Linked DNA regions of Caenorhabditis elegans. The protein of the gene in region 1 purifies or fractionates together with the protein of each later gene. This does not show direct contact. Each region holds a gene or a part of one and is shown in the gene's direction. Other genes may lie near its edges. The genes, in order: lat-2 and K07H8.8.

The links.
Region 2: the proteins of lat-2 (region 1) and K07H8.8 fractionate together in Caenorhabditis elegans (co-fractionation; one large-scale study listed by BioGRID). This does not show direct contact.

What each region holds. Positions count from the first base shown.
Region 1 is NC_003280.10:4,350,926-4,366,682, forward strand, and holds the start of lat-2 (Latrophilin-like protein LAT-2), read left to right. Parts: upstream 1-8,139; 5' UTR 8,140-8,156; coding exon 8,157-8,381; intron 8,382-8,839; coding exon 8,840-8,951; intron 8,952-8,996; coding exon 8,997-9,152; intron 9,153-9,570; coding exon 9,571-9,854; intron 9,855-9,908; coding exon 9,909-9,991; intron 9,992-10,215; coding exon 10,216-10,328; intron 10,329-10,374; coding exon 10,375-10,499; intron 10,500-10,559; coding exon 10,560-10,669; intron 10,670-10,714; coding exon 10,715-10,912; intron 10,913-11,846; coding exon 11,847-11,905; intron 11,906-12,301; coding exon 12,302-12,527; intron 12,528-12,903; coding exon 12,904-13,229; intron 13,230-13,318; coding exon 13,319-13,406; intron 13,407-13,777; coding exon 13,778-14,218; intron 14,219-14,719; coding exon 14,720-14,797; intron 14,798-15,252; coding exon 15,253-15,476; intron 15,477-15,757. Other genes in the region: H20J04.9 (Methyltransferase domain-containing protein), read left to right, coding at 273-536, 983-1,345, 1,967-2,146; H20J04.7 (Serpentine Receptor, class Z), read right to left, coding at 2,296-2,523, 3,286-3,456, 3,507-3,911, 4,183-4,392; H20J04.1 (uncharacterized protein), read left to right, coding at 4,746-4,752, 4,800-4,925, 5,444-7,685, 7,734-7,890. UniProt on the Caenorhabditis elegans protein: May have a role in pharyngeal pumping during feeding.
Region 2 is NC_003282.8:8,259,885-8,275,641, reverse strand, and holds K07H8.8 (sulfotransferase family protein), read left to right. Parts: upstream 1-7,229; 5' UTR 7,230-7,293; coding exon 7,294-7,345; intron 7,346-7,540; coding exon 7,541-7,731; intron 7,732-7,772; coding exon 7,773-7,915; intron 7,916-8,003; coding exon 8,004-8,135; intron 8,136-8,187; coding exon 8,188-8,328; intron 8,329-8,540; coding exon 8,541-8,698; intron 8,699-8,750; coding exon 8,751-8,890; 3' UTR 8,891-8,998; downstream 8,999-15,757. Other genes in the region: K07H8.11 (F-box associated domain-containing protein), read left to right, coding at 324-437, 999-1,099, 1,376-1,853, 2,201-2,416; K07H8.5 (uncharacterized protein), read right to left, coding at 3,170-3,368, 3,491-3,843, 3,890-4,024, 4,241-4,472, 4,519-4,571; vit-6 (Vitellogenin-6), read right to left, coding at 9,275-9,457, 9,501-9,770, 9,819-13,766, 13,824-14,283, 14,375-14,469; K07H8.7 (Lipoprotein), read left to right, coding at 15,663-15,757.

The sequences.
Region 1 (15,757 bases):
ATTGTGCTATTTTGTGTCAACTACTGATGAAAGTCATTGAAAATGAACTCGTAAATTTGAAATTTTAGTTTGAATTTTCGGTTTAGGAGCAGTTTTCAGTGTAGAATTAGCACTATATATTGAATTTTAGAATTAAAAAAATCGAAAAAAAAAATTTTTTTTTAGGGTTTCTTTTTAAATTTAGAAGTTCAAAATGGAACATATAAACTTGCCATTAAAGGGGCGCGGCTTAATAATATTTTTCAAATCAATAAATTTCCAGCTCCAAAAAAATGGCTTCCCAAAAGTTAACAAAACTGTTCGCCAACTCATTTAAGCTGGCGACAAGTGATCTCGCAAATCAATACGCTCTACCGGTTAAATCAATGACTGGAATGATTGTGAGCAAGTATGGTGCATCGAAATCCAGGCGGCTCAATGAGAAAGTCGTTGAGAAAATGGATATTGGGAAAGATGATTTTCTATTTGAAATTGGATTTGGACGAGGAGATGCTATGAAAATGTGCTTTGATCGGGTTAAAGACGGCCGGGGAATGGTAGGTGGAGAGGGTGTAGGCAGGCCTGCCTGAAATGCCTGAAAATTGTAAAAATCTGTAAATCGTGGCCTAGAAAAAGCAAAAACTCGGCCACCGATTTATTTAATTTTTTTCCCACAGACTAATCTGAAACTTTGCCACCCGATAGTGGCCGAGTTTTCTCTTTTTCGCGGCCATGAAGCTCGATGCCGGCTAATGTATTAAAAAAAAACCCAGTCAGATGCACCATGTCTTCACTTTCGCGGTGTGCATTTTGCCACGTGTGGCCTAGAAAACAACTCGGCCACCAATTTTAATCGTATGTTTTAAACAAATTTTTACACCTTCTAGGTGTCCCAAAACAACCTCTTTTCTCGGCCGTGGCCGAGTTTTCTCGCCTCACGGCCACGTAGCAAATCTGATCATTTTCACATTCTCTTTTTCTCTCTAACACCTAAAATTTCCAGGTATTCGGTGTTGAAAGATCCGGCTATATGAACGAACGAGCCATCAAACGATTCGTTCTGGAAATCGCCGAAACCGATAAAATCCGCATCGATTCGGCAGTTGATCTACGGAATCTACCGTATCCCACTGATCTATTCAATCATGTATTCCACGTGGATCTCTTCTATTTTCTACAACAAAATGCACTGGTAAACATTAATCGGGAACTGCTGAGAGTTCTGAAACCCGGTGGAACATTGATTTGTGGAATGCAATTCGATCGGTTGAAGAAATTGACGGAAAATCGAATACTTGAGGAGAATCAGTGGGATCCAATGAGATATCTGTGGGCACTGGAAACGGCGGAATTTAGTGATGTTAAAGTGCTTATTATATTGAGGAGCAAGCGCGCTCCACTGCAAATTGAAAACTCTCCGCCCCCAAACCATGGGTCTCGTTAGGTATTTGACTCCAAAACCGTAAATTCGAAAATTAAAAAAAACTTCAAAACTACAGTATTCCTACAGTGTCCTTACAGTACTACAACAGTACTACTATAGTACTCCAATAGTACTACTACAGTACCCCTACGGTACTCCAATAGTACTACCACAGTACCCCCGTAGTACCCCTACAGTATTCCTACAGTATCCCTACAGTACTTCTACAGCACCCCTATAGTACGAATACAGTATTCCTACAGTGCCCCTACAGTACTCCTACAATACTCATATAGTACTACTACAGTATTCCTACAGTACCCCTACAGTACCCCTACTCTACTTCCATAGTACTGCTACAGTACCCCTATATTACTACTACAGTACCCCTACATCCTACTGTACCCCTATAGTACTATTACTGTACTCCTACAGTACTACTACAGTAATTCGCGGTTCGGCCGCCAAATACCTAACGAGACCCATCATTCGGGGGCGGAGCATTTCCATTTGGCCATGGAGCGCGCTTGCATCACGATTTCAAAAAGCAACACTAAATTCCAGATCAACTACCATAAGGACCCCCAAATTGGTGAATATCAAATCATCTCGGCTACAAAATCTACTGATCCTCTAGCTGGACAAGATCCTGAAGAATTAATGAAAAAATTGGCGATGGATATGAAGAAAGAACGACTGGCCGAAGCGATGATGAATGATAAAAAGAATTTTGAAGATCTTTAATTTTTTCGGTTAAAAATGTTTTTTTAAAATAGGTTTTTAATGATTTTTTGTTGTTATTTTTCGCTATAAAAATAGGTACTTTTGAAAATTTGTTTGGAAGAGTAACATTCTTTATTAGTGTGAAAAATTGGAAAAAAGTTTAAAAAAATTCAAATTTTCGCGCCAGTTTCAACACTAGATTTCCCATGCTCAGGTCCCGGTGCAATTTTATTTCTGAATATTCCACTAAAGTACAGATTCAGTAATGGCATGGATATTTCCGGGAAATGATTGAAAATTTGAAATGTTGATGCGAAATGGAAACGAGCATCGCCTTCCTCAGAATCTTGTTCGAAATATTTTGTCTTCATAAGGATGTCGTATGGAATTATTATAATCTGAAAGATGTTAAATTATATTCCTACAGTACACAACTATAGTACTACTACTGTACTCCTACAGTACCCCTACCGTACTCTATAGTATTCTTACAGTACTCCTACAGGACCTCTACTGGACCTCTACAGTACTACTACAGTATCCCAACTCAATATCCCTTCAGAAGACAACATGTTTTTCCAAAAACTACAGTATTCCTATTATCAAAATATAAAAACTGTCACATAAAATTTGACTACAGCGACGCACGCGAAATATTCGCTCTCGATTCTAGAAACGTCAGTTTTTGCGCTGTATCTTCGCATTTTCTCGTCTCCCGTTTCTGTCATCACCCGTGGTTCCAGCTGTTTTTACGGCATGAGGAATCGAGAGCGAATATTTCGCGCGCGTCGCTGTAGTCAAATTTGATGTGACAGTTTTTATATTTTGACTTTACAGTATCCTACGTTACCCCTAAACCAATATCCCTTTAAAAAAAGTATTTTTTTCCAAAACTACGGTAATCCTACAGTAGTTCTACAGTATCCCCATATAACTCTTACAATACCCCTACAGTACTTCTACAGTACCCCCCCCCCAGTTTCCCTACAGTACTCCTAGAGTACGCCTACAGTACGTCTACAGTACCCCTACAGTATATCTAAAGTACTGCTACAGTACCCATACGGTACCCCAGCTCAAGATTTCTTAATTTGCAGCAATCCTAAAATACCTTTACAGTACCCCTAAAGTACCCATATTCCCTAACCCAAAAAACTCACTAAATATAAAATAGATGTGATAAGTATTTCTATATGAACACTTTTCTCCTCTCTAGACATATTTGTGGTATTTATAAGAACCTTTTTATTTTTCTGTCTCTTCAAATAGTACAAAATCATATAACAAATTATTGATGCTACTGGAAACAAATGAAACATGCGATGGATACTCTAAAATGTTTTTAAAAGTTAAAATTAAAACTAAAGTAACCCTTATTTACCTTATCACTGTAAATATCGCCGTGTCCGTTCCAGGGGTTTTCGAAGAATCCCAACCACAAGATAAATATTCGTTTTATTTTGAAATTTCTCAAACCAAGTATTCCAATAGTAATAGAAAAAGATGCACTGAATAGAATAAGAATAACAATTTGCACGTTGCCAAATATTCGATGATTCCAAGTTTTAGAAAAAAAGCAGAACAATTGGTTTAACGACATTTGAAATATAATTGTCAGGCAGAAAAATCGACTACAGTAATCCACGAGAAGAGAAAATTGAAGGATATCTTCTAGGAAAAGGGAACTTTCAGATGTCATTTCCAGCATAATTATTGCGAAGATTAGGAATGATACTCGGAATATAATCATCGATGATCGGACAACTGTGAATGCAAAAAATGGGGTCTGAAATGACAATTACTTGACAATGTTCGGTCAACTTTCAGGAACTTTTTTGGGATTTATTTTTTCTCTTTCTCTCCACCAAGCCTAAGCCTATGCCTAAACCTAAGCCTGAGCCTATGCCTAAGTTTAAGCCTGAGCCTATGCCTAAGCCTAAGCCGAAGCCTAAGCCTAATCCGAAGCCTAAGACTACGCCTAAGCCTAAGCCTAAGCAGAAGCCTAAGTGAAATCCAAAGCCTGAGCCTAAGCGGAACCCAAGGCGATTCAGACTTACCAACTTCAAGCAATTCTTCTTCAAAATAAATATAACCATAAAACTCTGAACCATAACGTTCAAAACTTCCAAAACCAATAGTAATATAATTTTAATCGAATAAGAATTATGTTGTGATGGGTCTTGAAACGGCTCCGGAGCACATATAATTTTTACACAAGGGGGTGTAGGGAGTACAAGTGGAGAAGTAAAACTGGGTGAGGAATTCATTTTTGGAAAGTTGGGAAGTAAAAATGATAACTAAAGCTGAAGTTTTGATCAAGAAAACCGTTGAAAAGATTGTGTTATTTAGTGTTAGCTATAATTATACAACTTTATATGTAAACTTTTAAACAAAAATTCAAGATAAAGTTCACAAATTACGTGATTTTTTTTAATTTTACACAAATAAACTCTCAACAAAAAACAATGAAAATAACTTCACGTGAACTTCTTGAAAAAGAAGGAGGGAACAAAAAACAACTACGTGTGTCCAAATAATCATCAAACATTTATTCCAGAAATTTTCAACTTTCTGCTGCAGATATTCAATTTTGCTGTTCTTTCAGTAAAAAAGTATCAAAATGAAATGTGAGTTTACACCTTTTTCTGCATATTCCAATTCTGCTCGATTTCAGATTGGAAATTACTATTCATTGGATTTCTAATTGTTAATTGTCATGATAATATTCCAACGAGTTTAACTGCACAATTTGTCAGTGGAAATGCAACAGGAGCCATTGTTACTAGAAGTGCTCCAGAAGGTCAGTGAATGGCTCGTAAATCTTAAGGAAGCGGACATGTTTTTGGCCAATTACCCATGGTTTTCTGAGTTAGAGGCTCTGACATCTTAGACGGTGTCAATTTCTAGAAGAGTAGCTGCCACGTGGAATTTGTTTTGAATTCTGTGACGTGGATTATTGATTTTCTTTTGAAACTACGTGGCAGCTTATTGAGAGTTCACGAGTACATTTCCATGTAAATTAAAGTTAATCATATTTCATGAGAGTTTTTTTCTTTTCTGGTTGATCTCTGAAAAACGCCAAAAGCTTATTTTTTTTGAAAAAATATAGCGTTACACATGTTGTTGCCTAGTTTCAGAGATTCAAGCTCCCTTCTAAAAATGTTTAAAATGAAATCATTGCCTCTGGTTTTTTGTTGAGATTGTGTAGAATAGTTGCCTAGAATTACCACCAACTCTAGTTCGACAAATGCGCCTTGGGTAGAGGTTCCCTTGAATCTTCAAATCTTTTACCTCTAGACTCATTAACTTCTATTTCAGATTCTTCCCTCGATCGAATCTCTGAGATGCTCGCTGCTCATGCTCGTCTAACTATTGGAATCACTATTTTGGCGGATCTTCTCGAACCATCTATGATCAGTGTACTTGCTGGATTTTTCAATATTGAGGAGTCAAGTATCAATGGATTATTGAAAATTGATCAATCAAAGATCAAAAGACTCATTGGAGACCTATCTAAAATGAAAACTTCTGAAATGGATTTTTCCAATTTGACAAATGGAATTGAACACTTAGAAGAGATGTACAAGGAGTTCAATAGTTTGCCACCTATATCGACAGACAATGAAGACGTGAGAGCGCCGTCCTATAAGAAAATTATAGAATTGAACGAATTCCCTGAAACGAAACAAGATGAATTGGAACAACTTGGAAAATATTCGGGCGCAGTGACAACATTGAAAAACAATGTCGATTTGTATCCCACATATATGAATTGTACTATTTCGCCAAATGTTGATAAGAATGCAGCCGCAACAGCCTTCCAAAATTTTTCAACCCTCATGAATATAATTCTTGAACCTTGGGAGAACTTCAAAAATCTCGAGCAGGAGGATTTTACGACGGTATTTAAATCTGTCAACAAGAAACTGGAAGTTTATAAAAAGGTCGATCTAACACGTGTGTCCGCGACTCAAGTCGGTACAGGAGTGGCGATATCACCATTCTTCTCGAATGTTCTTTCGTACTTGGAGTCATCACATGCAATCAAGTTCATCGAAAAACTAACAAATGCTGACAAGAATACTCTGAACGATTTAAGAAAGTGGACTGGAGCATTTCCGGATGAACTTCTGAAAATCGAAGATCTGAAGAGGGATATCAATGAAACCTTTTTGAAAGAGACACTGACTGAAGACAATTCTCCATTGGATGCTCTTTTGAAAACTCTGCAACCACTATTTGACTCCGATTCTGTCATAAAAACATTCTGGACTGCTCTGGAAACTTATGATTATTCAAAAATAGCGGACACAATCAAAAACCTGGATTCTCTATTGAAGTTGCTGATTGAATCAGGAAGTTCTTCACAAGATTTTACCAATTCATTGTCAACGGTTCGAAGAATTGTGGAATATGCAAAGTTGATCAACACCAGCAATCCACAAGTGACAAATTTTGAGAATGGATACATTGATATTCTGAACGCCTTAGGCAATTTGAGTTCTCTGAAATCCGCTGTGAAAGAATACAGAGGAAGCGACGAGTTCACAAATGCTGCATCTTCATCCGTTTCAGGCTACCATTCACGCGTGAGAAGTATGGATAAATCTAATTGTTATTTTGTGATTAAAAATGACAATTTCGACAATGCTGACAAACATTTCCCAAAAGTTGTCGAGAAGCTCAAAAAATTCAACCAAGAAGCCATGGAACTCAAGGCTCTCATTTCAAAGATCCCAATGTGGCAGGAGACAACGGAAAACTTAGAGATGTACATAGATGAAACATTCGGTCCATTCAAAGATAAAATTAACACCAGTCAACAGGATCTATCAAAAGTGAAAGGTGGAATCGGGTTCGTCAATCTACATAAAACGATGTTTGCTACTGGAGAAACCACTGTCGACCTGAATGAACTTCAAAAGATCAAGACAACTGGTGTGAACAATGTTCAGAAGAGGTTGGACGGACTCAGTGATTTGAAGACTCAATCTTTATACAAAGAAGTTATCAGATTCCGAAAGAATTTTCGTCTCCGAGAGAAACTTATCAGTGGATCCATCTTATTCCGTGACATGTCCCGACTTATCAAGGAATCAGAAGTATTCGATAAACTAGCAGAAACTGGAAATGCTCTTTGTCTGAAAGTGGTGAACACGAGTTCCGAAGATGTCCCACGGAATGAATTTTTGAAGAAATTGGATGTTCTGAATACAACAACTCATCGAATCAAGGATCTTCTTGCTCATGCTTTGAAACTCAAAAAAAGATATACAGACGTGTCAAATACGGATTTATTGCATGCAAGATTCCTTGTCGATAACCTTGTGAACCTTCCAAATCCAGAATATAAAGTTGAAGATTGGACAAAATTTGTTGATATCTTGAATGGAACAAATATGGCAACTGCATCCACTGAAATCTCTGAATTCTCCGAAGCAATCGAATCCACTTTTGATCTGGACTTTACTGCTCATCAGACTGAAATTATTGGTACTTATTGGAATCTTCGTGCATTGTTGAGACTTCATAGATCACTTGTGGCTATTGATCATGTTTCGTGAGTTAATTTTAAACTTGTAATTCCTCAAATATACATTTTTTTCAGACAAAAATCCTTCTGGGAACGTTACAATCATTGGATTCAGTTGTCGATGCTCGTTGGTATTCTCAGTTTAATTAATATCGTTGTCCTGGCTCTAATCAAAATCAAACTCAGAAGAGATGCACAAGCTGAAAAAGAAGAAGATGAAGATTATTATTGATTACTTGTTTCTAGCGTTCCGATAATAAATAGATTTTTGAAAATTCTAGAACTTGCATTGATCACGAGATTATCTTACCTCAATGCCATTCCGTAATCAACATGTCATCCTAATGCACGAGATGGGGGACATAGAAAAAGCATCGGCCGTATGTATTCCTCAAGTGCTCATCAAACACTTTGGCACCACGGCCAACGCCTTTTCCTTCCTACCACCTCCGCTCTCGAAATCGTTCCATTTCTTTTTTTTCAAAACTTTGATTTTGTATGGCAAAACAGCTAAAATATCCATTTCTCATATTCATTATTAGTTTGGCTCAGTGCCAGGTTTCCAACCAAAATGTGAACCTTTGCCAATCAAACATTTGTCAAAATGGAGGGACATGCCTTGTGGCAAGTAGTGTCCCCGCAACGGCGACTTGTCCCAAGAATTCGATTTATTATATGGGATCCTGCTACGTTTTCGATACGACTTTGAGGAATTGGAATGATGTGAGTTGGGCGGCACATTTTATGGCATGCCTGCCTTCCTGCCTGTTTGCCTACAGCCTATTTTTTTTGCAGTAGGTTTTTTGTTTACATCGGTCGTAAGCGTAAGGCAGGCCGGCAGACGTTTTTGTGACTACACGTAGGGCTTACCTTTTAGACATGCATCCTTTGGATTGCTCCACTTAAACGGTTTATATCTTTGGCTTTAGTTTTATCAAAAAATTTTAACTGCCAAAATATACATAAATATTTTGTGCGTATTTTGCCGGTTGATTTTTATTGATAAAACTTAAGAGCACCGAGATATAAGCTCACAAAGAAGAGCAAAAACTCTGAAATTTTTCATCGATTTTTTTTGTTGGAAAACCCTTGGAAATAGAGGTTTTAGAGGTTGTTAGTTGTAAGAGTCCCAGACAATTCAGAAAGCTCTAAAAAAAACCTGAAAATTAAAAAATTTCCAGGCAGCCCTCTACTGCAACAACATGAACAGTGCCACACTTCCCCTCGTCGAATCGGCTGAAGATCAGGCGTTCTTTGCTGGTTACCTACAAGCCATGATTCCATCTAATCCACGTAATAAGCTTTAAGCTTTATTTTTAAACGAGCTTTAATTTTTAGCAGCCGATATGCGACCCCCACCAGATGGAATTTGGACTGCTGTGCGTGGAGTTAACAATGTGACGCGAGCCTCTTGGGTTTATTATCCCGGCTCTTTTTTGGTAACTGACACGTTTTGGGCGCCACAGGAGCCGAACATTTATGTGAATTATAATGGTGAGAATATTGTTATGGTCTAATTTTGAAAACTTTTCAAATTAAGTTAAATCTAGTGAATTTAAAAAATCAATATTTTCTGATTCCAAAACTTTTTAATGAAAGTATGCCAGAAAGTCGACAAAACGCAACAGAAAATTAGCAATGCGCGTCAGAAGGTTGGTGCTTAACGAGAGAAAATTCCTGACGTGCTCCAAAAAGTTGAAAGTTTGCTGCAGAGTCCGCAACTTTCGTCAGAAAGTTTACCATCTGCTGCAACAGAAATAGCTAAATATAGACAGTGCGCCAGAAAGTTGATAACTTCCGACAAAAATCTGGAACTGTGAGACAAAAGTTTGAAATCCGCCACAGAAATGATACCGTTTTTCGACAGAAAGATTACAAATTGCACCAGTTACCTAAATTTTTAATATTTTAGACGTCTGCGTAGCTCTCCAATCCGACTCCTTCTACCGTGAATGGACCACCGCCCTGTGCACCATCCTAAAATACACAGTATGTAAAGTTGCTCCAACGCAGATCCAAGCCAAATACGTTGCTCAATGCTCATGCCCAAATGGATATGGAGGTCAGACTTGTGAGACTCAATCGACCACGAATCAACAAGCATCTACCCAAAGAACATGTGGAAGCAATGATTTCCAATTTTCATGTCCGAACGATCAAACGATTACTGTAGATTTTGCGTCATTTGGTGCACAGGTTAGAGATCAAAAGATTGAGTTTTTTTTTTGGAAAAAAAGGAAAAGAGTTTAGGAAAGTTCAATGTGTAACCAGGCGAGCCAATCGAGAGAACAAACTTGCTCAAATGTCAACTCACTTCAAACAGTTATCAATGCGTAAGTGAATTGATTTTTGATTGGTAAGAGCTCGCCGAGCAGTATTATAGTTTTAAAACTGAAAATTTGAATGCAAACCTTCAGAAAATTGTTTCAAAATCGCAAAAATTATATATTTTCTGGCATAAAACCCAAAAAAAGTATCCTCATCATGGCACTACCGTAATCCTTTCGCGCTTTCTAGTAGAGCAGTAAAAATACCTAGAGCAGTAAATATTTTCCAGATGCCAAGGCCTCCAATCTTGTGAAATCCGAAATTTAACGAGCACATTTTCAAATACACCATGCCCAGTTCCCCAGGAACAATATTTGGAGACACGGATGAGATGTGAAACTGGTGGGTACCACTGAGCAACTATGTACTAAAATTGGAGTATTTCCAGCTCAACAACCATCTTGCTTATCCGGGCTCATTCAATTCGATAGCAGGTGCTACAGTATGACAATTGAGACGAACGAGAAGAAGCAGAGAACGATGGAAGATGCTCAGACATATTGCTCACAGAGTGTAAGAAAAACTAACCTTTAAGAATTTACTAGAAAATTAAATTGGTTATGATATTTCCAGGGTGGATCTATAATAACCTCACCTCCAGACGCATTGCTCCAACAAATTGTACAAAAAGTGAATGCAGAGACGAAGAAAACCGTGAATTTTTGGATTGGAACTCCCAATAAGTAAGGTTCCACGTATCAAATTATCTACCAACTAACCTATTCCAGCTGCCAGCTCCTAATGGTCACCGGCTCCTCAACATCCTACTCCCAGTGCCCATCATCTCCATCTTCAACAGCCAACGTCATCTGCTCCACGGTTCCCCAGTCAACTGCATCTGTGTCAGCACGTCCTACACAATCGGCTCCAGTTGATCCTGTATCTCAAACTATGGCTCGGAGAGAGGTCTACACCGGGGTTCAGCCGTGAGTTTTGTTTAACATTCAATGTATTTTGGAAGAAATTGAGTTAGAAATGTGCAAGTTGGATGGAGCTCGGAGCCGGGTTAAGAAAAAATATTTTTAATTTAAAAAAAGCGACAACTGGCCTGTGAGAAAATTGCCTTGCACCCTTGCTCCAGTCACATTTCTTTTTGGATACACTTGCTATTGAGCCACTGACTCCGTTTCAATGGCTTTTGACCTAGCAATTTGTGCCCAATTGCCAAAACTCCGGTTTTCCCTGACCTCACCTGAATAAACGCCATTTGCAGAATTGCGAGCGCACTCGGGGGTCAATCAAAAAAAACCAATCGAAAATTAAATAATATTTGCCAAACAAAGATCGGCGCCCCTCTCTCTCTCTTCCTTTTCTCTCGCAATGAGGTTATAACCGGTTTTGTGTGTATCTCTCTAATCTCTGCGTCTCCTCAAATCATATACTATCTCTGTGCCGTAAGCTTGATTTGCCAGTGAGTCACTAATACTTAGTCCGTCTCGGTTGCGCATTCATTCCGTTTCTCACACATGTTTTCGGAATGAGCCGAGCATCAGTGGTTACTGTAATATTCCTTGGGATAGTATTAGTTGATAGTCTTGTAATTTGTACATCGGAACCATCTAGGTATGTAATCAGTGTGACATTAAATATTACAATAAATTAGAAACCGGTACATTTGTTGCAGCCAAAATATCTGCAAAATTTTCTTATTTTCTGAAAAAAAATTAATTAAAATTGCAAATTCCCAATTTTTAAGGCCTGCATCTCAGAGGTTATGAAAGATATCAAAATGTTTTTAACTGATAAAATATTTAAAATTTCCTTAGAAATATTTTGCCAGTTGACAACTTTTTGATATCTTAACTAGTTTTGAAGTTATCTACAACTTTGATTTCCACAAAAATAATTTGGAATTTTCAGTCCAAGTGTTCCGGATTCAATCAACAAGCCAAGATATTGCAAGAAGGAGAAAAAAGATGGTGAGAATTTTAAAAAATTGATTTTTCTAAAATTTTGATATTTAAAAACACTAAAACATTTTGCTTTTTTTTAAAGAAAATATCCAAAACATTTTTTGCGATTTTTCCAAAGTTTTCGAAAATTTTCAAAAAAGCTCTACCTCTTAGAATCAGCTGTTCAATTTAAAATTTTTCAGAAATTGGTTAAGTATTTTTCTGAAATTTTATTTAATTTTTAGATTTTTTTTGTTTGAAAAATGTTCTGATTAAAAATTGAAAATTTGGAAAACATTCAACATTTTTACTTTTCGAAATCTTTTAAAAGCGATTATTAAAAAATTCTTGAGTTTTCTTGAGAAACCCTAAACATTGAAAAATTCAACAAAACAATTCTTTAAATTCTCACAAATTTTCCAGGAATCACATACGAACAAACCCGTGCATGTATGCTACACGAACAACCTTGCCCGGATCCTCAGAATGTCGAAGGTACAGTAACCCGTTACTGTAACTGTCAGACTGCAAAATGGGAGACACCGGATACAACTAACTGTACACATCGATGGGTGGCTGAAATGGAAACTGCAATCAAAGATAATCAGCCTGTTGAGGATATTAGTTCTACGGTTAATAGGCAGTTGAAGTGAGTTTTTGTGGAAACCTTTAAAAATGGAAAATTAAAAAAAAACATCAAAATTCGAAAATGATTTTTTAAATATCAGAAATTCGAATTTTTATACTACTAAGAATGGAAAATAAAAAAAAACAATAGGAAAAATGAAATTCTCAAAAAATCTAAATACCATTTTAATGAGGAAATCTGAAATTTGTTTTTTAATCCAGTAGCCAAAAACAAATAAAGTTCAAAACCAATTCCGTAATCGGAAATCCGAATTTTTATATTCAATTTTTTAGAATCAGAGAATCTCCAAAAATACTTTTTTTAAACCCGAAATATCAGAAAATTGGAACTAATTGTAAAGTAAAAATAAAGTGTTTTCTATAATCCAAATTTCCAGATCAACAATCGAGCGTACACTTTTCGGAGGTGACATCACAGGAACCGTCCGCCTGAGCAATGACATGCTCAGCCTTGCTCGAAACCAATTCAGTGTCCTAAATGACCGTAATCTCCGTGAGAATAAAGCAAGAAACTTCACAGAGAACCTCGGTGGATCCGGTGATCAACTTCTTTCTCCAGTTGCTGCAACAGTTTGGGATCAACTTTCGAGTACGATAAGAATACAGCACGCGTCGAAATTAATGAGTGTTCTTGAGCAATCTGTGTTGTTACTTGGAGATTATATGACAGATCAGAAGTTGAATTTGCAATATATCAATTGGGGTGAGTAAATTTGCCAAATGTCATGGAAGGTAGGCAGGCGTTGTATTGCTTTTAAGGCAATATTGTTTATTAATTATCTAATTTTTTAGCCATGGAAGTCGAGCGTTCTGAGCCGGAAGTTCAAACTTTTGGTGCAGCTGCTTCCCCAAATGTTCAAGATGACATGGGAATGATGAGGTATTTATTTGAATTTTTATTTTTTTTTCATTTTATTTACAAAAATTTGAAAAAAAAAGCAACAAAAAAGTTCAATAAATGTTAAATTTGTGACGCGGGCGACCGATGAACCGATGAACCTGTGAAATTTGATACTTTTTGAAACCTTTTGGAGATGGCAACTTTGGGGATTTTGCTCTTCATTAAAATGTTAAAAGCTCTAAAAATACACTCTAAAGTTGCTAAATTTAATAGAATGTTATTTAATAGAAATGAATGAAAATTTAATAGAAATGTTTAAATTTAAATTTGGTAAAACCTAAAAATTGTTGAACTATGTAATTATGGCAATTGATCAGCCAAATTAGGTTAATCTAATAATATTAATTCAGAGTAATGGCTGCAGCTCCACCTGCTCCACAACCAGAAACCAATACCACCATCATGTTCCCATCCCTTAAATTATCTCCAACAATAACTCTACCATCAGCTTCACTTCTAAGCTCCCTTGCTTCTCCAACTCCAGTTGCAGGTGGTGGTCCAAGTATTCTATCCTCATTCCAAGATGACACTCCAGTTGGAATGGCTTCTACTCCCAATTTAAATAGGAATCCTGTTAAACTGGGATATTACGCGTTTGCCGGATTCGGACAACTCTTGAATAATAACAATGATCACACATTAATCAATAGTCAAGTGATTGGGGCATCAATTCAGAATGCAACTCAAAGTGTTACACTTCCAGTTGATCATCCAGTTACTTTCACATTTCAACATCTCACGACAAAAGGAGTTTCTAATCCGAGATGTGTTTATTGGGATTTGATGGAAAGGTACGGGATAGGGAATGTATTAAAAATTACAAATTTTGGTTTTCGAAAACTTAGTAAGCTTAAGCCTAAGTCTATGCTTATGTCTAAGACTGAGCCTGAGCCTAGTTAAGCCTAAGACTAAGCCTAAGACTAAGCCTAAGCCTAAGCCTAAGCCTAGGCTAAGTTTTCGAAATTATTTTGCAGAAATTTCGAGCTTTAATTTTTATTTTTTCCAGATGGTTTCGATGCGAAGTTTGAGTTTTTTCAAATATTTTATTTAGCGTAAAGTTAAACATTTATTTTTGATTTTTCAAAAAGAAAATTGCTATGAAATTCACATTTCAAAATTTGAAAAAATAAATTATTTACAAAAATAGCGGGAAATTTGACATTTTAGGAGGGAAAAAATCAAAAAATGCTTCTAGATATCCTGTTCAAAATGCTTGATTCTTTTTAAAAAATTAAAAAATATTCAAACAAAAATTAAAATTTTCAAACTCTTATCATCTTTCCATTTTCCAGCAAATGGTCAACACTAGGGTGCACACTTATCGCGACATCTTCAAACTCTTCACAATGTTCATGTACTCATTTGACAAGGTTAGTGTGATACTTGTTGTTCGCCGAATTCATCATTCTTCCATTTTCAAATAAACAGTGACGTGGTAGAGGACAGAAACAGAGAAAAATTTGGAAATTAAAGGAAAAAGGGGAAGAGGCAAATATTATTGTGATTGTTTAAGAGAAAAAAAACAAATAATTCGTCGAAGAATAATATCATGAAAAAAATCTGAAAAAAAATTTCTAGAATTTTTCGTTTTACAAAATTATAAATCTACAGTTTAATTTGCTTATTTTTATTATAAAACCTTTAGAATGAAAAACATAAAAACTAAAAAATAAATTTCAAGCTTTGAAAATTCTTAAAGACAATTATTATTGATTTTTTATTTGTTCTAAAATCTTCAGATTTTTTTTTATTATTTTGCTCGGAGAGTTTGTGCTATATTTTCTCATTTCTCACTACTTTAATACGACCACATTCCATCTTCCAGTTTTGCAATTCTCATGGACATATCCGGTCAAGTTGGACGACTCTCCGGTGGACTTGCATCGGCTCTTGACGTCGTTTCAACAATTGGATGTGCAATTTCAATAGTGTGTCTTGCATTGAGTGTATGTGTATTCACATTCTTCCGAAATCTTCAAAATGTTCGAAATTCGATTCATCGAAATCTTTGCCTGTGTCTTCTGATTGCCGAGTTGGTTTTTGTGATAGGTAAGTATTTTTATTCCTTATGGGAATTTTTTATTCACTTCAAAATATCTACATATAAGGTATTCACAAATTGTTTTTTAAATTCTAATTGAAATTCAAATTTTAATCTGAAATTGTTGTTCCAGACGATTTTTAAATTTTTTCGAGGACTTTTGTGTTTTTATAAAAAGATTCTAAAAGCCTTTCAAACTTTTTTTAAAGATGTTCAAATTATAGTTATAAAAAAGCTGAGTGAAGTTGTCAGGGGGTCCTAAATTCAAAAAAAATGTTGGAACCTTTAA
Region 2 (15,757 bases), on another chromosome or scaffold:
AAGTTTTCCATGGAGGTAAGAAAATGTCAACCTTCGTGCCTACAAAACTGGCGACGCCAGTTTGTCAGGTACCTAGAAAGGAAGAATTTAATAGAGTACATCAAAATCTTCTAAAACATTTCCCTTTTTTCAAATCATATGTACATGCCACTTCTCAAGTATCCTTCATTTGTTTCAAAAGTCCCAAATTGATATCTGAAAATTTAAAAATAAAAATTTTAAAGTAGAATATCATATTTCATTTCTAGTGCTCTAGAGGTCATGAGCATGCTTCAAAAAAACAGGAATAAAAGGAAACGAACATTTGCAACAAAGAAAGGAAAATGTTGGTGGTCATATTTTGTTTCTTGAATATTCTATTTTCGGTGACATCTTTTGATCTTGAGGACGACGATGATTCATGGAAAGAACTGACTTTCTCAATAAGAACAGATGGTGTAAGTGTGAAAAACCATTTCCTTCACCTAGATCCTTAGAACTTTTATGCTCACACTAAATGAAAAAAATCGGAACTAGTTTTTCTTTCCGGTGTTGACGGCGTGCTTACCTACAACCTTTTTATTAAATTTATGCGTAAACCTATTCTGAATTCCGACACAACTAATAAGCATAGTTTAGATCTTTCCAGCTTCTTACCCAGTTTTTGCCAAAAGAGTTTTTGCCTAACTTGGGTTTCGGCAGTAGGTGCACATTTAGGCTCATGAAGTTATTTTAGTATTCGACCAAAAACCTTCTGTTTTCAGAAAGTTGATTTCATCCTCAAAAAGCGGTTTAATAATCTTACAATCGTTCGTGCCATTTTCACGTTTTTCCATCAAACGTAGATGACAATCTACATATTTATTTGCGAGGCTACTTTCCTAACACTTCGCGCTAATTTTGTTTTTGATCTGTTGAATTCTTAAACATACTACAAACGGAATCGCTAATCAGCAAGATTTCTTAAAATATTTGTATTTAATAAATAAGTGTTTATTCTTACTTGTTATATTATTCAGAATGGTACTATCGAAAGTGCTCATATCCAATGGACTGATCGTTTTGATGACTCATTTGCCTATGCCTACACGAACGAAAATCGGACAGATTTGAAGTTTTTGTAAGAATGTTTTTGTAAGAATTTGAGCAACGACGTGTTAGTCATAAATGAGCAGAGATTGTATTATCCAAACACCTACAATTTTCCTAGACTCGAAAAGAAAATTGTTCTGATTGTGAGAAGTATGAGTCAAAAATTATAATTCTAGGCGTTGTTGGTAAATTGTGGAAATTCTAGATATTTTCTAATGGCATGATATTTGCATGAAGTCAAAAACACCAACTGCTACTGCAGTGGTCGCCAAAATTTCAAGTTGGAAAATTAATATAATTTCAGATATGACAAGCCACGCCCTGAACTATTCGTCAGCAAAAACTTCATCGTGGACGCATTCACTCAATTCATGGATTTTTTCCAGAATCGAACAAAAATTTCCAGAATTAGTGTGACGCTTCCATCATTGACAGATGATCTCAAGAAGATCACAAAACGAAAAAATTCCGTTAAAACAAAACCAGCAATTGATAATTTTCGTTTCAACTCGTATGATTCATTGTTGTACAACGAACTTTTGAGGTTATCTACCGGAATCCCGAAACAGTTGAAAATTTCATTTTTCTACTATCCTGAGCGGACTGAGAAAGTTCTGGACGGTACAATTTTGAATCATCCCAAGGTTCGAGAAATCACTGAACTGGATCTTCGTACTGTTGAAAGTGATATTAATGATGCTCAACTTCATCAATTGGAATGTGAATCTATTTCTCTGAGATCTTCCACGGTAACCAATGCAGGAATTAACCGAATTTTAAAGGTAAACATGTATCTAGACTCTGTCAAATAAAAATGTTGTATTTTGATTTCAATCACATGATTTTTCTTCACCACTTCATGAATTGAATCTTTTGAACTATTTGCGAATATGAATGAAAAAATGTAATTAGAGATGTTATCATGTAGGCTACCATTTTTCTTTATTTCCCAATTTCTCTAATGTACTGTGATATTTCTGAATTTCTGCAAATTGTGTCATTCTTTTTGATGTAATATCAATAAATCATCAAAATTTCTGTGACTTTTTAAAAAGTATCACGATAACATCTTCATGCGATCGTTGCCCCTGTTAAAACATGCAATCATACGAACTTTTTCTATTTTAAGGAATGGCAAGATGGATTACGACCGACTCGTTATTTGAAACTAGTGAATGATGATTTACAAAAGGCTGAAATTATGGATGGAGTCTCGAAACGAACATTGCAACGTGGCGTTTGGGAAATTAAGAATCGATTCAACGCCTCGGCTACTGTAACCGTAAGCCGTGTGCCGACTAATCTATATGATTCAAAGCCGACGTTTGAGTTTGCGGTTTCTTAAAAAATCATGGTAAAAAATAAATATCAATGTTATATTTTTTTATTTATCTATTGAACCATTAAATGCATATAGCTTGTCTAATGAAATAAACTTGATAAGTAGCCTGTCATAACACATGTTCCGAGAGCACCGATAGCACGCCGCTTGTTTTGCTCTGAGCATCCGTTGGAGCTCAAAAATCTCAATTTTGAAACTTTGTTGCTTAAACCCCATATTAAATTATTTCAGAACATTTTACTTAAAAAAAGACATGTCTCATTCGAAATACCGGTGGCACCTTCACCTAAACTATCGTAGTTGCACACATACATATGGTCAAATGTGATCGATTGGTAAAGAGCGAACACACGAGAAGAGAACTCATTACTCGGCTGTGATGATGGTCATTTGAGGCTGTCATTTGACGGTGGGAACCGCGGGGGTCTCTCTTCGGCAGTCTTACGGGAAAATAGAAGGCGGAAAATGCGCGGAAAATGAGTGAGAAGGAGTTTTTCAATGAAAATGAAAATGAGAAGGTGGCGGGCTCCAGTGCAGCTTTGATTGCCTTCGGAAAGAAAGAAGGGCATGGTGTAAGAAGATTAATAGAAGAGTTCATTAATTCTCTGTAAAATCGTCTGTGTAAAAAGTGAACCTATCGATTTCATCTCCAAATGAACTTGTTCATGATCATAGAATCCAAACTGTTATACTCAAGAGACAATCATCTAAAATACTTTTATAGGTATCAAAAAACACAAGTATTCAAAAGAGAGTTCACATTGCAATGGTGCTGGCACCTCCAGTTGTTGTAGATGATCCAGTAGTGCCACCAGTAGTTCCGGCTGTTGTTGCGCCTCCCGTGGTTCCACCAACGGTAATTGCTCCGGTTGTAGTGTTTCCGAATCCAACTCCAGTGATTCCACCAGTTGTTCCCGAAGCATCACAACCGTAACGTTTGTACATGCCGCGGTACCTAAATATTAAAACTGCATATCACCAAATAATTAATCTTTTTAGATAGTGAAACTAATAATTAGCCAAATGGAAAGGGTTGGCATGTTTTTTCTTCAGACTGAAAACATCTTAAAAACTCACCAGAATCCATACACTGTTCTTCTCAGAACGTAGAAAATTCCACCGATAATAACAGTCCCGAGAAGTGATCCAATAATGAAACCAACAAATAATCCCCATGCCCACCACTTTCCAGGAGTATATGTATTAGGATTTTCCTCCTCGTTGCTACCAGTTTGATAATCGGGATTATTAATGTAACGAACTGGCGGAACGGTTGTTGTTGGAATGTTTGGTTCGATCTTCGGTGGTGGTGGAGCGAGAAGCTTTTCTTTTCCCTCCCCAGTTTCGTCTCCGCTTTCTCCCTCCCCATCAATCTTATGCACTTTGCCAACATCCTTTTTACTGATGAAGGTTTTTCCGATTTCAATGTTCTGAAATAAATGTTTAAAGGGGTTTTTTTTTTTCAGAAATACAAACCTGAGAAATGATTCCTTTGTTTTCTTTCAAATCATCAGACTTTTCGAAGAAGAATGCCACTTTCGATGCTGCTGTTGCATCCCACCACTCAGAATCAGATACAACGACTTCACGGAACATGTTGGCCACATAAAACTGGAAAAAAATATTTAAGTTTGAAAGGTTAGATTTGCGAGAATCGCACAAAAATGCTGTATTCAGAGATATCTGTTTTTTTTTCAAAGATAAAAAAAATGTTTTACTTTCTGAAAATTTTGGCCAAAAATTACGATTGGACATTTCAGACAGGGCTGATTCAACACTCAATCCAGGATATTTCAAAAATGAATTACTCATGAACTTTGTACAAACCTCTCCTGGAAGTTTGCCATTAACTTTATCTCCATAACCAAATCCAACTTCGATTACATAGATTTCTGCATCCGCAATTGCCCGAGGCTTCAGTTCCATCATCGAAGCACGTCCACTCTTTGGCCAAATGACAAGTCCGTTACGTGGCATAATGTACAACTCGAACTTCTCTTTGCAAATTGGAGCACGCTTATCATCCAAAAAATGTTCAGGATCAATGCAAAGTTTGATTCTAAAAGTTAAAAATTCCAAGTTAATTTCAAAGCATCATATCATACCCTTGTGTTTTCCCTTTCAAGTAGAGAAGAGTCTTCCAACTTCCCGCCTTCATCGTCAACTTGACAATATAATACCTTAAGAATCAATCTATGCGCCTTCTTGATTATTAAATGCACAATTATTAACTGCCATACAACAGCTTTCACTTTCTCACAAAATCCACATGAAAACAAACACCAGCCACAGCCAAAACGCAAAACAATTATCGATCAGCTGGCACTTTTTTATTTTCATTTATCTCAGCTTGACGTTCTCGGTTTTCTCTACGTTTTCCACCGAACTGCAGATTTGAGTGACTGGAGGATTGCTGCGGCTCTTTCATTTTACCATGTTTATCCGTGGAGCGCATTTGAAGCCCAAAAACTTTCAAGCTCCTGTCCAACTTATACTCACCTATCATTTTGATCTCCGTGCAACTTGTTCACAGCTTGTACTCTTTTGGTCGAGAATCACAAGTTTGACTGATTGACGAATGATGTTCAATTCGCAAAAAGAAGAACTGATTCGTTTTAATTCTGAATTGGCAGATTAACTGATTGATAACAATCTTCTACGTGGCAAGATGGTTTAGTAATCCAATGAGGCTTCACGGATTAATTGAAAAAAAAAATACATGAAGAAATTAATTAAAGAAGTGAAAGGCTATATTTTAACTTCACAAAGTGACCACGTTTCTTCAATTTTTTAAATACAAAAATTTTTTTAAACAGGGATTTGTTTGATTTGTTTGACAATGAGAATGTTCCGCCTCACTCACTAGTCAGCTACTCTTTTTTACCATAGCTATTAGGTCTCCAAATAAGTTCCGGGTCAAAAATCATAACTTTGTTCGCTGCGTATCAATTTTTATGAAACTTTGGGAATTTATATTATCAACCATGGTCTTTCATTTGACAATAGTCACAAAATTTTTTGACCACCCCAAGTGGCCTAACTCGGAGCCAATTTTTTCAGGCATTTTTCTGATCTCGCTTTTTTTCAGTTTTCAATTGAGCTTTGTGTGCGATTTTGCTTTGTTTAGAATACATTATTAGAAAACAACAAAAGTTTGGAAAAAAATCCGCCCAAAAAAATTTTTTTTGGTTGGTCGTCAAAAAATGTTCAAAAAAATTTTTGTCGAAAATTCTAGATTTTTCCTACAAAAAAGATGTAACCAAGTGTAAACTATTTTTACACATATAAATCATTTGAGTTAAAAATTTGAATCTCAAGAAATATTCAAAAAACTAAAAAATTATCCGAAAAAATTGTATTTTCTACTATCATTTTAGTGTATCGAACTAAATTGATATGTTTTGTATGTCTAAAAATAGTTTACACTTGGTTACATCATTTTTGTAGGAAAAATCTAGAATTTTCGACAAAAATGTTTTTGAACATTTTTTGACGACCAACCAAAAAAAATTTTTTTTTCTAAACTTTTGTTGTTTTCTAATAATGTATTCTAAACAAAGCAAAATCCGCACACAAAGCTCAATTGAAAACTGAAAAGAAGCGAGATCAGAAAAATGCCTGAAAAAATTGGCTCCGAGTTAGGCCACTTGGGGTGGTCAAAAAATTTTGTGACTATTGTCAAATGAAAGAGCATGGTTGATAATATAAATTCCCAAAGTTTCATAAAAATTGATACGCAGCGAACAAAGTTATGATTTTTGACCCGGAACTTATTTGGAGACCTAATATTTTTTTTTCTCGAAAATTCGTTATTTTTGAAAATAAAAATTTGAAAAAATAAAGATTTGAATGATATCCCAAAATATGTCTTACAGGCTTACATTAAATATGATTTTTCCGTTATATTTTCTTCTAATAAGCCTTACAACTTTTATTTTTCTGACTGTCCCGTTGCAATAAAGCCAAGGGTATGAAAACATTCCCACTGATTTCCCCGAGGTTCGTTTTTTTCTTTTTTTTTCTACCATTACAGCTTATCTAAGAAATAAACCTAAGAAAATAAAAAGAAATAGTATTCGTATCTTAAAATAAGCAAATTAATCTTAAATTTCTCTCAATTTTCCGTCTGCTTCGTTCCGAGACTCGCTCTTTAAAAGTCGGCAATGTCACACAAAATAAATTGAGACTGATGTATCGGATGAAAACGAGTTTTCAGAAAATCGCGGAGGAAGGGAAAATGACTCAGGAAAAGCGCTGAAAGATTTTGGCAGGTAGTTAAAAGAACGAAAAACCTTGATGCGGTCAATGTTTTAAGTGGCATGTTCTTTTATGCCATTCGATGCTTGGTTGTTTGGTCTTAGTTAAACAGTTTATCCTGGACGAGTTATATGTTTCAGCTCTTTTCACATTTTTGTTGCAATTAACCAAACCTATTAAATACTTATGCCATCCTTTCATATAATTTTAAAATAAATTTTTCTGTCACTTTGCCGCTCCTTTACTACCAACATTAGTACAACCCTTTTTACACTAAACAATTCTTTCGGTTATGGTTTATCAAACTAAATACAAAGTATTCTGATCTGTTAGACAACCGGATAATCCAATAGTTCCCTTTTTGCTCAGAATATAATGTTTAAATATTTATGTATTTACTTTATTTGATTTTTTCGTTAGGGCTTCAACTGTGAATGAGAAAAATTACCTCATGCAGATTCTATTTACTCAAGAGCTTTTTTCTCGGTCAAATACATAAAACTCACCCGTTAATGGTGTTTTCCGATACCTATCAGATGACCTATGCCGAAGATCGGAAGCCTTTATTGCGTCTGGATAGTGGTGAAGGTGGCGACATTGATGACTTGGAACATTTCACGGAAATGTTGAATCCCTATTGCACAACTTCAAATAAATTTTATTACGGAAAAAAGGGTTTGTTAAATTTTATTTTGTTTGCTTATTTTTACTGTTTCTAACAATGATTTTACATTTAGCTGGTTTTTGAAATTAATAATCACACTATAAAGTTTCATATTTGAGATGTTTCTGGTGGTGTTTTTCGAAAGTCTTTTTCAGCTATAGCATTTAAAATGGGAAGTTACTTCTAAATGTTTTATTTATTTTCAGAAAGGTATATTCCGAAAGCGGTTTTGGTAGTAATGGGCATATTTTCAATATGTTTCAGTATTGATAAATATCAAATATTAATGAAAGAAATTGAATCGAAAGAATGTAATGATGTACTGGCAGAATGCAACAATATACCTTTTAATCAAACATTTGTTCCACCATTTTATGATTATCTTCAAGATTTTACAGTAAGCTCCGCTAGGCCACAGTTAAATCTAAGCCCTTTCAGATTTCTCCTCGTTATGATATATCTCTTTGTCTTATTCCAAAAGTTGTGTCTACAATCGGAACTGCCGCAATATGTTACATACAAGATCCGGAGGCTTTCACCAAAAACAACAGAACAATATCAACGGAAATGTATGGTGGAAGGTAAGTTTGAGCGGTGTTGGTTCTCAGCAGTTACAGCTGGTTCCCAACTAAAACTGAATGAATTGAATGAAAATTTAATCAATTGCAGATTTTGCGAAAACAATGAATTGAAATCTTTTAAAATGGTGCAACGCAGTTTGAATTCTAACTTTGATAATATAATTTTCACACGAAATCCCTATGATCGGTTCATTTCAGGATTTACCGAGAAGTGTGTAAAGTAAGTTTAGATTTAGAGGATAATATCAGGATCTGCAAAATATAAATTTTAGTAACACGGACACAAATATTTGTCACGGATGTGGAACCGACATCCGATGTTTCTTGCAGAAAGAATATCGACGTTTAATTAGAATGAGTATGCTATTTCCTGTTTACACTGGAGCAGACACACATTTTGCTCCTCAAACTTGGTGAGTTCTCAACTTCATTAAATTCTTCATGCCAGGATTTTAAGCTGTCTTTTGAATTCATAAGAGGCTACAAGAAGACAAAAGACATAATGTCTCGCTAAGATCAAGATAACAGTTTTTGTCTAGCCTATTGCCTAATTCATGTTTCCATTTCTCCTAGTCATGAGAATCTTCAAAAATTTAAACCAAAAGATCGTTCAACGGTTTCTCAGGTACTGCGATATGAAAAACAACATCAAGAACTCAACAGTAATACAATATTCGAGTACGGGGACAGAAAAAATAAAGATGATTGATAATTTATTGACCGTTTTCAAAAATAGAAATGTACCAGAAGAAAATCTGAACGAAGTCAGAGAAGAACTTTCAAGTAAGCTTTTTTTAATTGCATTCTTGATTTCATTCAATTTCAACACTTTCAGAAGGAAAAACCCAGCACTCAACATCTGGAACATCTCTACGACTTAAATATGAAAAGCTTATTGAAGAAGATGGAGCTATCAGGAGAGCTTTACAGAGAATTTATTACTATGATTTTTTATATCTTGGGTATTCAATGTAGACGGGTTAAACAAGTAACTATGATTGACAGAAATCGGACAATTTTCCCCGGTGTTGCATTTCAATTGTATTTCCGTATTCTGATTGTTTCAACATAAACTTTATGTTTCTAAATACTCGGCATTTTGCCATAGAGTTCCCTCGCACTTCTACAGAAAAATCTGAACTCTTTGTGAACTCTGACGACGTGCGAGAGGAGACTGTAGAAGTGAACTCTGTGGCAAAATGCCGAGTTGTTTGAATTGAACAGTTCAAATTGGAATATGTTTAAAGTAAATTTTCCACAAACAAAAAATTGTTGAAATTGTTTATTATTGAAATCTATAAAACAATTCAATTGACAAAGATAGTCCTACGATGTGTATGATTGTGAAGAAGAGGTAGTTCAATAGTCGAACTTGTCGCACTTCTGGTCGACGGCGACGCGAACGGTGCGCTCCTCCATTTGTGGTTGGTCACGAAGGTTGCGGAGCTTGTGCTCTGGCCATTGGGCGAGTGGCTCACGGCGGATCTCGCGCATTTGACGGCGAGCCCATGAGTTGGAGGATGGGAGGCAGTAGACGGAGGTCTGAAATGTTACAGAATAATTGATTGAAATGTATAACTACTACCACCTTTTGCTTCTTGGACTCCTGTGACTTTCCGTTTTGGCAGCGAAGAACTGGCTTCTGGGTGAAGCAGATCTCGTGTTGACGCTCGACAATAGCGACTTGCTCAGTTGGCTCATCGTCTTGCTCGCGGCGAGATTCCTCGTAGTTCATCTCTTGGTCCTTCTCCTCCTCTTGATTTTTCTCAATGCGTTGGAAGTTCTCCTCCTTCTCGAACATCTCACGCTCGTAGTTGCACTTGGAGTCCTTGTACAAGTAGCTCTTGGCGAACTTCTGAAAATTGAGATGATTATTGTTGTGTATCAAAATTAAGAAACTTACTGGAATGGTGTTCTCTTGGTTCTCAGCATCATAGAATTCGGTTTCCTTCTCGTTGTCGTAGTGGCCGCAAAGTCCGCATTGTTGGTTTCTGTAGAGAGCGGAAAGGTGAATACGGGCATTGACTCCATCGAATTGAACAGTGACATCATCAGAATCGAACTTGAGTGTGTTCTTGTTAAGCCAGATGATGTTGTATTGCTTCTTCTCAATCTCAGATTCTGGTTGGTACTCGATTTCTTCTCCGTTGACACGGCAGATGAGTCCTTCCTCAGTCTTGTACATTTCAATCTCGTTTTCTCCGTAGACAACCTTGACGTTCTTCCACTCCTTCTTCTCGTTGATCTTCTTCATAAGGACAACGAAACGGGGCTCGCTCTTCTCAGATCCACAATCCTTGGCGAGAACGGAGTAGCATGGGGTGAATTGGTTACGGTAGGCAACTTGGTCGAAGGTGTTGATCTTGGTGCTCTTGACAACACAGTTGGCTTGCTTGGAAGCGTGATGGGCGATCTTCTCCATGACTGGCTTCTGCTCGTAGCGGGAGTTTCTTGGCTGGTAGTGGATTTGGGCAGTTGGAAGTCTGAATGGAAGCTCGACACGCTCAAGAACGGTGGTCTCCATTGGGGTCTCGATAGTCATGTTGACAGTTAGACGTTGGCGTGGTTCAACATTGATTGTGGCACGGATCATGTTCTTGCGGCTTGGCTCCTCACGGGTCTCGATTCTGGAAGTCCATGGGTATTGGGTGCGAAGATAAGCTTGAACCATGTTCCAGTATCTGGCGAAGTATTGAGCTGGCTTTGGCTCGAACTCGTACTCAACAACAGTTTGGTATTGGTCAAGTCTAGATGCCTCGAGAAGGGTCTCGTGCTCTGGGGCTTGCTCAATTTGCTTGACGAACTTCTTTTGTTCTTGGGATTGTTGTCCGTTGATGTTGATGTGAATGGTGTTCTCTCCGTAGTTCATCTCTCCCATAACAACGAGTTGACGGTACTTTTGCTCCTTGAGCTCCTCAACAGTCCTTGGGGTTTGTGGGTAGACGTATTGGATTGTAGCCTTAAGCTCTTCTCCGCGGATTTGGGTCTTGCAGAAGTGGAAGTCATTGTTGCAGACAGCCTCAACCTCCATCTTGACAACCTCTGGCTTGATTTCGAACTTGGCGACGTGTTGGTAGACCTTCTCGTTTTGGAGCCATTCGAACTTCTTTGTGATCTGCTCACGGTGCTCTTCCTCATCGTATTCTGGCTCAGCCTCAAGATATCTTCTTCCGTTATGCTTCTTGTATACCTTCTCGTAGTTCTTCTCCATCTTGTAGTTGTTGTACAAGTTAAGCTCAAAAATAGCCTCGTATTGCTCAACATTTGGCTTGTAGTAGACCTCGACGTTGCTGTCAACTATCCATTGTGGGATTCTCACGCTGGTTGGGCGGTTGAGAGTTCCTTGAACACGGATTTGTGGGTATTCACGGTCAAGAGATTGGCTGAGTTGTTTGTGGGCTGGGAGCATGTAGGTCATCTCGATTGGTTCTGGGTATTGACGAGCATCTGGGGCGACAGTGCGGGTGAAGGTGACTGGACGAGATTGGATCATGGCGATTCTCTTCTCCTCGGATGGGGTGTTGTAGATAGCACGGATAACAACCTTGTCTTCCCAGTTCATTCTGATCTCAGTGTCAACTGGAGTATTAAGGACGGCTTGGTGAAGGAACTTGGTTCCGACCTCGGCGATTGGGCAGATAACTCTAAGAGAAAGGACGTGGGTGGAGGCTACACGTGGCCCAGCTTGAACACGAAGGCGAAGTCCGTCGAAGCTCTTTCCGTTCTTTGGCTCAAGCTCGAAAGTTACTTGTCCGCGGATGGAGGAGATGGTTGGCATCTTGGAGGTGAATTGAACTGGAAGTCCCATTGGAGTTGGAACTCTGCGGACGGTCTCGTAAAGGAAAGCAGCGTTGGAGGCAGAGAAGTGGATTCCTTGGGCAAGGACTCTCTCGATATCTCCGATCTCAAGTCTTCCTCCTTGGATCATGGAGCGGACAACCTCTGGGATTGAGTCAGCATCAATTGGAAGGAAGGCGTAGTCCATATCACGGTGTCTGATGTAGACAAAGGCATGTGGATCTTGCTCAGATGATTGACGACGGGTGATGCGAAGCTTCTCGAGAAGGTTGCTCAAGAATTCAGTTGGTTGGAAGGATCCGGAAGCTCTCTTTCCGCGAACAACGATTTGTTCAAGTCCTTTTTCTTGAACATTGGAGAGAAGTTTCTTGATGATCTTCTCCATATTCTTCTGGGTAAATCCGATTTGAGCGAAGTATTGGTTCCATTCTCCGGAGAGAACTCCTTCAATCGAAGCCATCATCTCGGTTGGGAGAACAGATTCGGTGGTGAAGAGGGAAGCAAAGTTAGCTTCGAATCCGGATTGGTGGCGTCTGGAGTAGGTGGACCATTTTCCATAGACAGACTCGAAGCGATCAATCTCTTGGGATGAGAATGGGATGTTGTTGAGAAGAGATTGAACACGGGAAGAGAATGTCTGCTCGCATGGAGACTCGTTGTTAGCATAAGAACGGAGAAGGGAGAGGGTGAAGGCACGAACTTGTTGGTTGCGCTCTTGTCTGAGTTGGTTTCCGATCTGGGAAAGGACGGACCATTCTGGTTGAGTGTAGATGATCTGATGGAGTGCAGACATGCGGATGTGTTGTGGTTGTTGACGGTTAAGGTAGACTGGCATAAGAACACGTTGAATCTTTGTTGGCATCTGGGTGCGAAGACGACGGAATGACTCGATGGCTTGTGTGCGGATGGTGGTTTCGTGTTGCTCGTTGAGAATGATCTTCTCGAGTGGGTAGACAGAGAGATCAAGTCCGGCATTAGCAAGGGTCTTCAAAGCAAGAACCTTCTCGTAGCGGGTGGATGCAGATTCGAATTGTTGGACGAGCTTGTCAACGATTCTTTGCTTAGCATCACGTGGGCACATCTTGACTCCATTCTTCTGGACGAAGACTCTTGGGGTTTGTCCGCACACTCCATTGACAATAGCTCCGTAGGTGAGCCAGCAGGATTGACGAAGAGCTGGGAAGCTTGAAGATACATCGGATTCGCAAAGGCGAGCGATATCTTCAGCAATAGCAAGAGATGGGTAGCGCATGTCGACGAGTGTCTTGATGGCAACGGAGGCTTTGAGTGGAGCAATGTTCTTGCGAGATTGAACCTTGTCAACGAATTGTTGAATGGTGACACGAGTTCCGGCGAGAGCAAGGGTGTTGAAGTAGATGGAGCGAAGTTGCTCAGCAATCTTCTCATCCTTGTGCTCAGCGACGTGGCGGTAGATTTGTTCGAGTTGCTCCTCGTTGCACTCACGGAGAACCTTGACGATTCTGGCAACAGTGTGTGCAGCCTCAAGCTCAGCCTCTCCTTGTTCGATTTGCTTGGCCATCAAAGAGAACATCTTTTTGATCATCTCGACCTTGTTCTCGGTCCATTGTGGGAGTTGTCTAAGGTACTTCTCCTCTCCAGTTTGAGCCCATTGTTGCTCAGCCCATTCGGATTCCTGGTTGTAGACAAGCTCGGAAGTCTTCTCATTGCGGACTTGCTTGATCTCGGTCTTCTTCTCTCCAGCATAGATAAGCTCCATGGTGTTCAAGGTGAAGGCAGAAACAAGTTGATGCTTCTCGGAGATTGGGGCAAAAAGGTGTTGGGAGCGAAGTTCAACGGAGTTGATGAGGAAGCTTGATGAAGTTCCAGTGATGTTGTAGTTGAGAACTGTGGAGCTCATCTTGTCTTGCTCAAGAGTTTGCTGGCAATCCTTGCACACTGGAGTCTGCACGTGATGGATGTATGGGCGGCGGGTACATTTGTCGAAGTTGATCGACTTAGCCCAACGTTGCTCATCCTCCTTCTTGATCTCTTCAACGGTGTAAAGGACCTCGCATTCTCCTTCGAGGGTGCGCTGAAATTCAATTATTCAAATTTCGAACTCAAATATATATGTATATTTAGAACTTACCTCAACATTGGTGAAAGAGAAAGTTGGTTCTTGGTTGTCACTCTTCTCAGCTCCTTCGTACTTCTCCTTCTTGAGGATGTTGACTTGAAGCATGTTGATGACGGCTCTCTTGATGTTCTCTGACCATGGCTGATCGTTCTCAGCAAAACGGATCTCTCTGACAAGTCCGTGTTCGTAATCAAACTCAACTGGCATGCTCAAAAGCTCTTGGTGCTCACGGTTCATGCGCTCAACCTCCTCGAAACGCTCGAATGGGAGCATCTTCATGGAGTTGGACTCTTGCTGAGAGGTTGCGAAGCGGGTCTTCTGGAGTTGCATGCGGACGGTGTTTCCATCAGTCCATTGGAGGGTAACTTGAGATTGAAGACGTGAGATTCCTTGTGGGGTAGATGGGACTGGAAGTCCGGCAGAGAGCTGGCCATTGAAGAGGTAGCGGTACTCGCGTCCGGCGCGGAATGAGCTGAAAAGGAGTACAATGTGATTGATATTTTTGAAAATAATTGAAATATAAAAAGGGTCAACTCTCAAAAATGATTTAAAAAGTAACTTACGATTCTTGAATATTTCTCTCGATGGAGTTGTAACGATCCAAATGGGTCGAGGCGAGTGCCGCTCCCAAGAGAGCAAGCGCTATGAAGAACTTCATAGTGATTGATCGATCTAAGTGACCGAGTGAAGAATACATGAAGCTCGTGTCCTTTTATACATACTCTTAAACTTCGACAAGATGTCCATCGCAGCATGTTGCAATTCTGAAAGTAGCTTAGAGACCATGCGGATTGAAGAGACTCAGCATGCTTATCAGTCATTGAGACAGGTGTCAATTGTTGAGTGCGGGAGAGTGTCAGTAATGTTAGGTACCATTTTGGGATTGGCGGGTGGCTCCGATGAGGGGAGGTGGATGGGGAGATGGTTTCTGGTCAAAGTATGACAATTTTCTTTGACAGTTTAGTTACATTTTCTACTTTGAAATTGCAACACTTTCAACATTTTGCATCTGACTTTTGGTTAAATTGGGGGAATAAAATGATGCCATTATAGTCATGAAATGGCAAAAATAACAATGACCTTAGCTTTGCGAAGATGTGAAATATTGCTTCAAAGGCACCTGATGTTTTCTATGTGGGTCACGCCTTAGTCATGTGGCCAAACCAAACTGTTCATGAAATGTGGAAGTATAAAAAATTTCACAAACTATAAAAAATAGCAAGATTCACAATAAATTATTCTGCTTCTAGTTTTTTGTTGCGAAATGATAATATTTTTCAGAATACAAATAATTTAGATATTTCAAAGTTCTAAAAATCCTACAAACTTGAAACAATTAATGAACAAGGCAAGAATTTCGGTTTAGTGGCAAAGGTGCATTTTGAACAAGAAAAAAGTCTATCTGAATACTTTGCTGTGCATTTTCCACTACTTTAGAGGCCCGTAAATTTTTTATTTTTGAAAAAATTTAATTTTGACTTCAAAATGTTTTAGTAAAAAATTATTTTTTAAAGAAATGTTGTCAATGGATGTTTGTACATTATGCACCACAAATCGGTGTTTTTTTAAACTTTCTAGTTCTGCTGCTAACAAGGTTTTGTAATGATATTTAAGATATCCCCTTTTGAATTAAGTTTTCATTAAAAAGTCTGATTGTGAGCTGAAATACTAATACCTAAATATTTCCGTACAATTATGATATTATACAAATCTCAGTTATGACGTGAAATCATATTTAATATCCAATATTTGTAATTTGTGGATATTCCTTATCTTTAATTAATCTCTGGCAGATTGTTCAAAAATTACTAACTCATTTTCAAATTTCAAAATTTGGTGAGATTTCCAACTATGCTCTCAAATTGGAATAATTTCTATATTCATCTGATACTTCTCAAATCACAAATCTTTTCAATGGCACTCATTATATCACTGATTTCTGGAGT